Callithrix jacchus: one gene and its partner. The protein of the gene in region 2 purifies or fractionates together with the protein of the main gene of each other region. This does not show direct contact. Links are inferred from orthologs where the notes say so. Each region holds a gene or a part of one and is shown on either strand. Other genes may lie near its edges.

Evidence for each region.
Region 1: the proteins of ARHGAP12 (region 2) and TJP2 purify together in Homo sapiens (co-immunoprecipitation; 3 studies listed by BioGRID and IntAct, with this or other methods). This does not show direct contact. The link is inferred for Callithrix jacchus from reciprocal best matches to the Homo sapiens genes ARHGAP12 and TJP2.

What each region holds. Positions count from the first base shown.
Region 1 is NC_133502.1:95,851,736-95,855,560, reverse strand, and holds part of TJP2 (tight junction protein 2), read right to left. Parts: intron 2,688-3,825; coding exon 2,475-2,687; intron 1,317-2,474; coding exon 1,206-1,316; intron 1-1,205. UniProt on the Homo sapiens protein: Plays a role in tight junctions and adherens junctions. Acts as a positive regulator of RANKL-induced osteoclast differentiation, potentially via mediating downstream transcriptional activity.
Region 2 is NC_133508.1:31,608,198-31,612,022, forward strand, and holds part of ARHGAP12 (rho GTPase-activating protein 12), read right to left. Parts: intron 646-3,825; coding exon 520-645; intron 1-519. UniProt on the Homo sapiens protein: GTPase activator for the Rho-type GTPases by converting them to an inactive GDP-bound state.

The DNA of each region.
Region 1 (3,825 bases), on a different chromosome or scaffold from region 2:
ACCAAGGGTGCATGAGCCGGCCCAGAGGTGAGACCCAGGTCAAGCTGAGGAATGAGACTGGGGTGGGGAGCAAGGAGAGCACGGCTTCACACTAACAGCGACTTCTCCTTCATACTTCCAGTCTTGTCTGGCTTGTAAATTTTCACTGATGCATTTTATGAGGTCATATTATTATTACTCAGGTCACTTATTATTATTATTACTCAGAACCTATCATATTTACTACTTCTGACAGCTCACAAAATCAATTATTGCTTTCTTCTTATCTAAATTATTGAGTTAGGCCGGGCGTGGTGGCTCATGCCTGTAATCCCACCACTGTGGGAGGCCAAGATGAGTGGATCACCTGAGGAAAGGAGTTTGAGACCAGCCTGGCCAACATGTCAAAATCCATCTCTACTAAAAATACAAAAATTAGCTGAATGTAGTGGTGTATGCCTGCAAGTCCCAGGTACTTGGGAGGCTGATGCAGAATAATCACTTGAATCCAGGAGGTGGAGGCTGCAGTGAGCTGAGATTGTGCCACTGTACTCCAGCCTGGGCAACAGAGTGAGACTCTGTCTCAAAAAATAATAATAAATAATAAAATAAATTATTGAGTCAAATAGATTTTATTTGTTTATAAGGAAAAGCATAGAGTCATTGCTCTGATTCTGACTGAAGGTAAATAATATTTTGATTACATAAAGACATAATCTTTGTGTCTTTATATTGATTCTGTTCTTGGTAATAATTTATTAAACAAATAAGCAGCTCTCTTAACAAGAGGCATTGCAAGCAATGTTGATGATATTCTCTTTAGCAAATCACCAGTAAGAATTATCTGGTGCATCTAAATCAGTCTGTGGGCAGAAAACTTTAGCTGGACAGCAAAAGAAAAACAGATTCTGCAATTGGTGATTCTGGGCATGCAGCATTTTTAAAAATCTTTGTCTTTACAATCTTTTTTTTTTTTTTTAACAACAAAAAAAGTAGATTAAACAAACACTAACAGTCCTAAAAGTATGTGCTCTCCTAGTATTGCCTTTCCTTCCTTTTTTGCCCTTCCCTAATTTGAGGGTTCACCCAACAGGCCAAAAGACTGACTAATGAGTTACAACTGTAATTAAACACCATCTTATCAGGCATGCTCCTCCCTGGCTGTCCAGGACCCCAGAGGCACCTGCTTCCTCTTGCTTCCCATCCTCGGCTTCCCAGCCACGTACCTTGGGTGGCTCTGGCTTGAATGCTGGGGGCGGGCTATTGTCCCTAAGTTGATCGCTGCTAGCAGCCCTCCTCATCTGAGCTCGTGGCTCTGGGCTGGGTTTCCTTATGCTCTACAAGACATAAAGGTTTATTCACAACAAGAGCATACAAGCAGAGAGAACAGAGCACTCATCTGCTTTGCAGGAGTTCTGCAAACTTGAGTAAGTTCAGAAGCTGAGGTCCTGAGCCGGTACTTCTTTACTGAACAGGCAGACACCATCACCAAATGCTTCAGACACATTTTTAAAAAGTGGCTGCATCCAATGTAGAATCTTTTCCTTTAAAGCACATTTTTCAAAGAACCCTCCAAAAGCCTAAAATCTCTTGTGTCACTAACAACATCTAGTCTATAGACATCTGGGAGTTAATTTATTCTTTATAGTTTGTCTAGCATAAACTAATTTGTTGCTGTGGTGATGGTGTATTTTTCCCCCCCTTCAGTTTGTTGTTGTTGGGTCTTTTTTTTTTTTTTTTTTTTTTAAATAGTTCTATTTCAGAAAGAAAAAAAATCATTGACTGGAACGAGCTAAATTGGTAAAGAGAAATCCACAGCAATAATTATCCAAATATACGCCCAATCTCATCTACAAAGATCATTTTATTCCAACATTCTCTGAGGTGCAACTAATAATTGCTCTGGTCCTAACCTGGCGGTGACTTTACAGTGTCTCTCAATGTATAAGGATCCTGTAAACTGTTTAATCACAGTGGATGCACAGTACATGTGATCAGATGAATGTCTGATCATGAACTCAATTAAAAAACTGAAATATAAAAGAGAGAAGGAAACTGATAGGGAAATACTCAAGAGCTTTGGCAAGATTAGAAAGGTTAAAGGCAGGATGGGGAAGGAAAGCAAGGACATCTAAGAGTACAGAGAGAAACCTAATCAAAGGTTACAAGCACATACAACAATACTGCATGGGAAGGAATGTTCCTCTGGTAATTTGGACAGCTGACACATAAAGCCATTCTGTTTATCCATCACGCCTGAGGGCGTGGGTGTGAGGAGTGCTGACCACTCAAGCTCTTCTGAAACCCACCTGCCTGCCCCACTCTCCCACAGACTGCAACCATGCCAGTGTGGACTCAGAGCGAGATACCCTGGAAGTCATCTGCTCCATCCCTTAGGAACGCCTTCCACAGCACCCTGAACACACAGCTGTCCATGAGAGTGCAAGGAAAACACCAGGCTCTCCTGCTCCTGCCCGTGGCCTGCCTCGCCTCACCTCCTCGTGCTGCACCGGCTCGGAGGAGCGGGTGATGGACGACACCAGCGGCTCCTCGGCTGGCTCATCCAGCTCATTGTCAGTGTAGGCGCCTCCTTCGCCGTCCGTGTCTTCAAAGTCACTGATGAGGCGGCTGTCGCAACTCAGATAGTCCGCGCCCATGGCAGTTAAGTAGGACATGCGGTCTTCGGGGTCATCATCCATCCCTTCCATCTAGAGGAATTTGTGTCGGAGGGTCAGTGGGGTCTGACATGGCTCCAGGAGTGTGGCCTCAAGAAAATTCCCAAGGGCACAGCCAAGTGACTAAAACCCCAATGTGCTCGCCAGGGAAGGCATCTTTCATTTTTCTCCCTGAAATCACTTGGCGGCTTTGGTACTATGCTCATTTTTGTGCAGGAACTCGAATTAGGGGCCCGGTAGCCTGTCTGTGCTACCATCCATACTCCATACCACGGCTGAGCCATACTCTCTCAGACTGTCTTGCTTTTCTTCTGAATCCAGCTCCTCTGCAGCCTGTTCTTCTGGGACCACTCTCCTAGTAATATTAACACATGCACACTGCCTTGTGTACACCCCCATCCACGACTCTACAAGATTCTCAGCCCCTCAAAGGCAGAAGCTATGTCCTGCTCAACTTGCTCTCCCCAGGGAAGCTTGTGAAGAGTCATCCAAACTGGAAGCATTCCATAGATGCCCGATACTTTGACTAAACATCTAGTTCTCAAAGAGCAAGACTTAGTCAATTCTGCAACAAAACAGTCACTGTAAAGTCTCACCAAACTACCTCAGTTCAGCTGGTGTACAGGATACTAGCACCAAAAGCTTCTAGAATAAAAGGGGCCACAGGTAATAGAATCTCCCTCTTTCCTCCCTACAGCACAGCTGCATGTTTGAGCTATCTCCACCAGGAACAAGCGATCCAATTCTAGAGGCCTAGACAAATTCCCTAATGCTCCCACATCACCCTTTCAAACTCTCAGAACAATGGCACATTCCCAACACAACTCAACTTTTATTCTAAGTAATTCCGACTCTATTCGCTTTTCTTCTTTTTATTAATTTTTAGCCATATTCTCCAAGTTGCTCAACCTCACCTCTCATCTGCACTCTAAGTTTCCCACGTCCTTAGTAAGCTGTGGAGCTCAGCATGAGATCTTGTAAGCTCTGATTAGTGTACTTGGAATACAACACTAGTTACTACGTTAGAAGTAAAAGGGAAGTGAATGTAGGGCTGCACACATCACATTCTGCTCTTCTTTTAAAAGTCCCTTCATTTTTATTACTTGGTCAGAGAATTTATGAAATTTCAAACTTGATTAGGACACATGTGAGCATCACTTCAAATGGGAAT
Region 2 (3,825 bases):
CAGAGAACATGACTTATCAGATTGATAATAGAACTGCCTTCTGCAGAGAGCACTTAGAGAAACAAAGGGAACAGAATTCCAATATTCCCTGGGATGAGGAAAATTAATTAAATGTCTTCCCTAAGAAATCTCCTAGAGACTGAAGACAAAGGATACAGAAATGTGACTTTAAAATAAGGTAAGCAAGAAAAATCTGTCATCTACTAGGATCAAATGTATCAAGGTATACACATCAGTAAGCCGCAGATAATTCAGTCCATTGTGCAAAAACCAAAACCTACTTCATGACAAACTGATGCTAAATACATAAATATGTAGTCACTAAGGTATGCAATTTGGTTAAAGAAAAAAATAATGTAGAAACATTTCAATATACATGCACATCAAGAGCTTAGTTTTAAAAAAATCAAATGCTTTAGAAAATTATATTTATTAAATACATAAAATATTAGTACAAATGGTTATAATTCACTGTACAATATAATGCAAAGAACTTGCCAAAAATCTCAACAGTCCTACCTTGTCATTAGTGTCCAATACAATGGTGCTGTGTCTCCACTTTGTTAATACTATTGGCTCTTGCAGTCGCCTGTCCAGGCTCCTACTTTTAATTATTTCTCTTTGCTGCTGGGATGAAGCATTATACTAAAACAAAACAAAGCAAAAAACATGAAATGTACTTCATAAACAATAGGAACCAAAGTGGAATCTAAACATCCTGGCTCCAAATGACAATAACTGTTAGGCAAAGTTCATCATATAAACATCTCCATAAATTTTCTAGCCTCAGTTTTCTCATCTTTAACCAGAACTGTGGCACAATTCAGAAGATCAGACTCTGGTGTTACAGAGACCAAATTAGTGTTATCTTTGGCAAAATATCTAATCTCCCTCAGTCTAAGTTTTGTCAACTGTAAAGTAGGTATAATAGAAATATCATCTAATTCACAGAGTTGCTGTAAAGATCAAAGTATTAAAGAACAAAGTATTAAAATAGTACATTATCAATAAATATTAACTATCATAATTTATAAAAATTGGATAAATTAATTTTTCTACTTCTACTTCTTCTACTAAAATGAAAAAATAAGCATTATTTTAAAAACCTAAACCAAACATTAAATCCAAAATGAACTAGCAAGTTTTTTTTACATATTCTGGATTCTAAATCTTTCTAAGCTATGTGAGTTGAATATATCTTTTCCTAGTCTGTAGCCCATCTTCTCCCCTTTGTTTATGACATCTCCTACATAGAGGTGTTTTGTTTAATTTTAATGTAGTCACATCTGTCAATCTTTCCTTTTATGGTAGGCTTCTGAGTTTTCTTCATGAAATCTTTCCTATTCTTTGGTATATTCTTCCACAGTCTTTATAAAGTTTTACATGTTATATATATTTCTTTAATCTAATCATTGAGCATGAAGTGAGGTCAAGATCTACTTTTATTTTCATTTTTATCATGTGAATAACCAATAATCTTAGTAATATTCTTACTTAGTCCATGCTTACCCCATTGATATGTTTTCTTTTCAGTTGTTGTTGCAACATCTCAGGTGACACAAACCAGTGTGTGTTTTTGTTTGTGGGCTCAAAAGATGTTCCTGTACCAGCCACCTAAACAGCTGGGACTACAAGCACATGCCAGCACACTTGGCTTTTTTTTTTTTTTTAAGAGCCAAATTTTCCCTAACTCCATTGATTTGTAATGCCACATCTGATCTTTATACATGTGCCCTTATTATCCCAACTTAATTACCACAGCTGGAACTCTCTCTCTCCTGTCCCCCACCCACCAACTACTCCCTATACAGGAATATTTTGACTCTTCATGGATATTTGTTTGCAAATATAAATTGCAGGTTCCATTCCCTATAAAGTGAGGGAAAGGGAACTAAACAGAAATGCATTGGACTTGTAGATTAATTTGGACATTGTTATAAAATTCAGCCTTCCAATCCAAGATCATGATGGTATACTGCAACATTTATTTGGGTCTTCCTTTATTCTGCTCTGAAATTTTCTTTATTAAAATCTTACAGATCTTTAATAAACATGTTCTTAGTTACAATTCTTGTTGCTACTGCTGCTAATGTAAATAGTATCTTTGCTGCTATCACATTTTCAAACTTACTTTTTACTAGACAAATGGGTAGTTTTCATGTTAATTTTATATCCAGTAACTTTGCTGAACTCTCATCAGTGTTAAGTTTGCAGGTTCTCTTGGATTTTCTAATAATCAAAAAAACCCAATTGCATCTCTTCCTTTTTAATTCCGTTATTTATTTCCTTTTTTAAATTGTTGAATAGAAGCAGTGATAGAAACGTTCCAGTTTAGTCCCTAACTCTAATGGGAAAGCTTCTGTAATCTCACCATGAAGTATGAGATTTACTGCAGATTATTTAATAGATAACCTTTAGCATAATGTGTCGTTATAAGAAAGTGATTTGCATCTGGCTGCGGTGGCTCATGCCTGTAATCCCAGCACTTTTGGAGGCTGAGGTGTGCGGATCACCTGAGGTCAGGAGTTTGAGACAAGCCTGGCCAATGTGGTAAAAGCCCGTCTCTACTAAAAATACAAAAATTAGCCAGGTTTGGTGGTGCATGCCTCTAAGCCCAGCTACTCGAGAGACTGAGGCACGAGAACAGTTGAACTTCAAGCTCTGCTTGAGGCGGAAGCTGCAACAAGCTGAGATTTCACCACTGTACTCCAGCTAGGGCAACACAGTAATGGTCTGTCTCTAAATAAATAACTGTGATTTCCTTATAGAAGCATATTCTTGGATCATAGTGGTTTTATATCCATTTTGCAAATCTTTTAACAGATGTGTTTAGAACATTTACATTTAATGTAATTATTTATAATGTTAGGATTTAAGTCTAGCATTTTATCATTAATTTTGTTTCTCCTTTCCCACCTTCCTGTGGGCTACTTGAGCAATTTTTACTATTGTATTTTAAAATATCTACAGTTTCTTAAGCCTCTCATTATAGTTTTTTGATGCGTGCTCTAGGGATTATAATATACATAACTTATCAGTCTACTAGTATCAACATCTAACTACTTCAAGTGGAATACAGAAACCTTACCAAAAATTATATCCCTTTACTCTCTCCCTCTTTATGAAAGAGTTATCTTAAATATCATTACTGCATACCAGGACTACTTCAGAAATGTTATAACTTTTGTTTCAAATGTCAAACACAATTTTAAACACCCAGGACAAAAGTCTTCTCAGATATTCAACCGTTCTGCTGTTCTTTATTCATTCCTGATATTCCAAGTTTTCTTATCCCTTCCCTTCTGTTTGAAAGACTTCCTACAGAAATTCTTTGAGAGCAAGACTGCTGGGGATAAATTTCTTAGTTTAGTTTCATTCTGAAAATGTCCTTATGTTACTTTAATTCCTGAAGGGTATTTTTGCTGCAGAAGGGTTCACAGTTCTCTTCTTCCAGCATTTGAAAAATGTTATGCCACTTCTTTCTGGCTTCCCTGGCTTCTGATAAGGCACTCACTTCAGTCAAATTATTATCATCCTAAAGGTAATGTGTTGTTTCACTGAGAGGCTTTTAAGACTTTGTCAGGAGGAATGGGGTTCTTAAGATTTCAGAAATTTTGATTATCATGAGCCTGGATTTTGGGTTTATCTTATTTGGTGTTTATTTAGCTTCGTGAATCTACTGGTTTGTCTTTTGCCAAACTGGGGCGTTTTCAAATACTACTTCTTCAAAGTATTTTTCCGCCTCACACTCTTTCCTTTCTCCTTCTGGAACTCCAATGAAAGGAAGGTTAGAACTTTTGTATTTTCCCACAGGTCTCTGAGGCA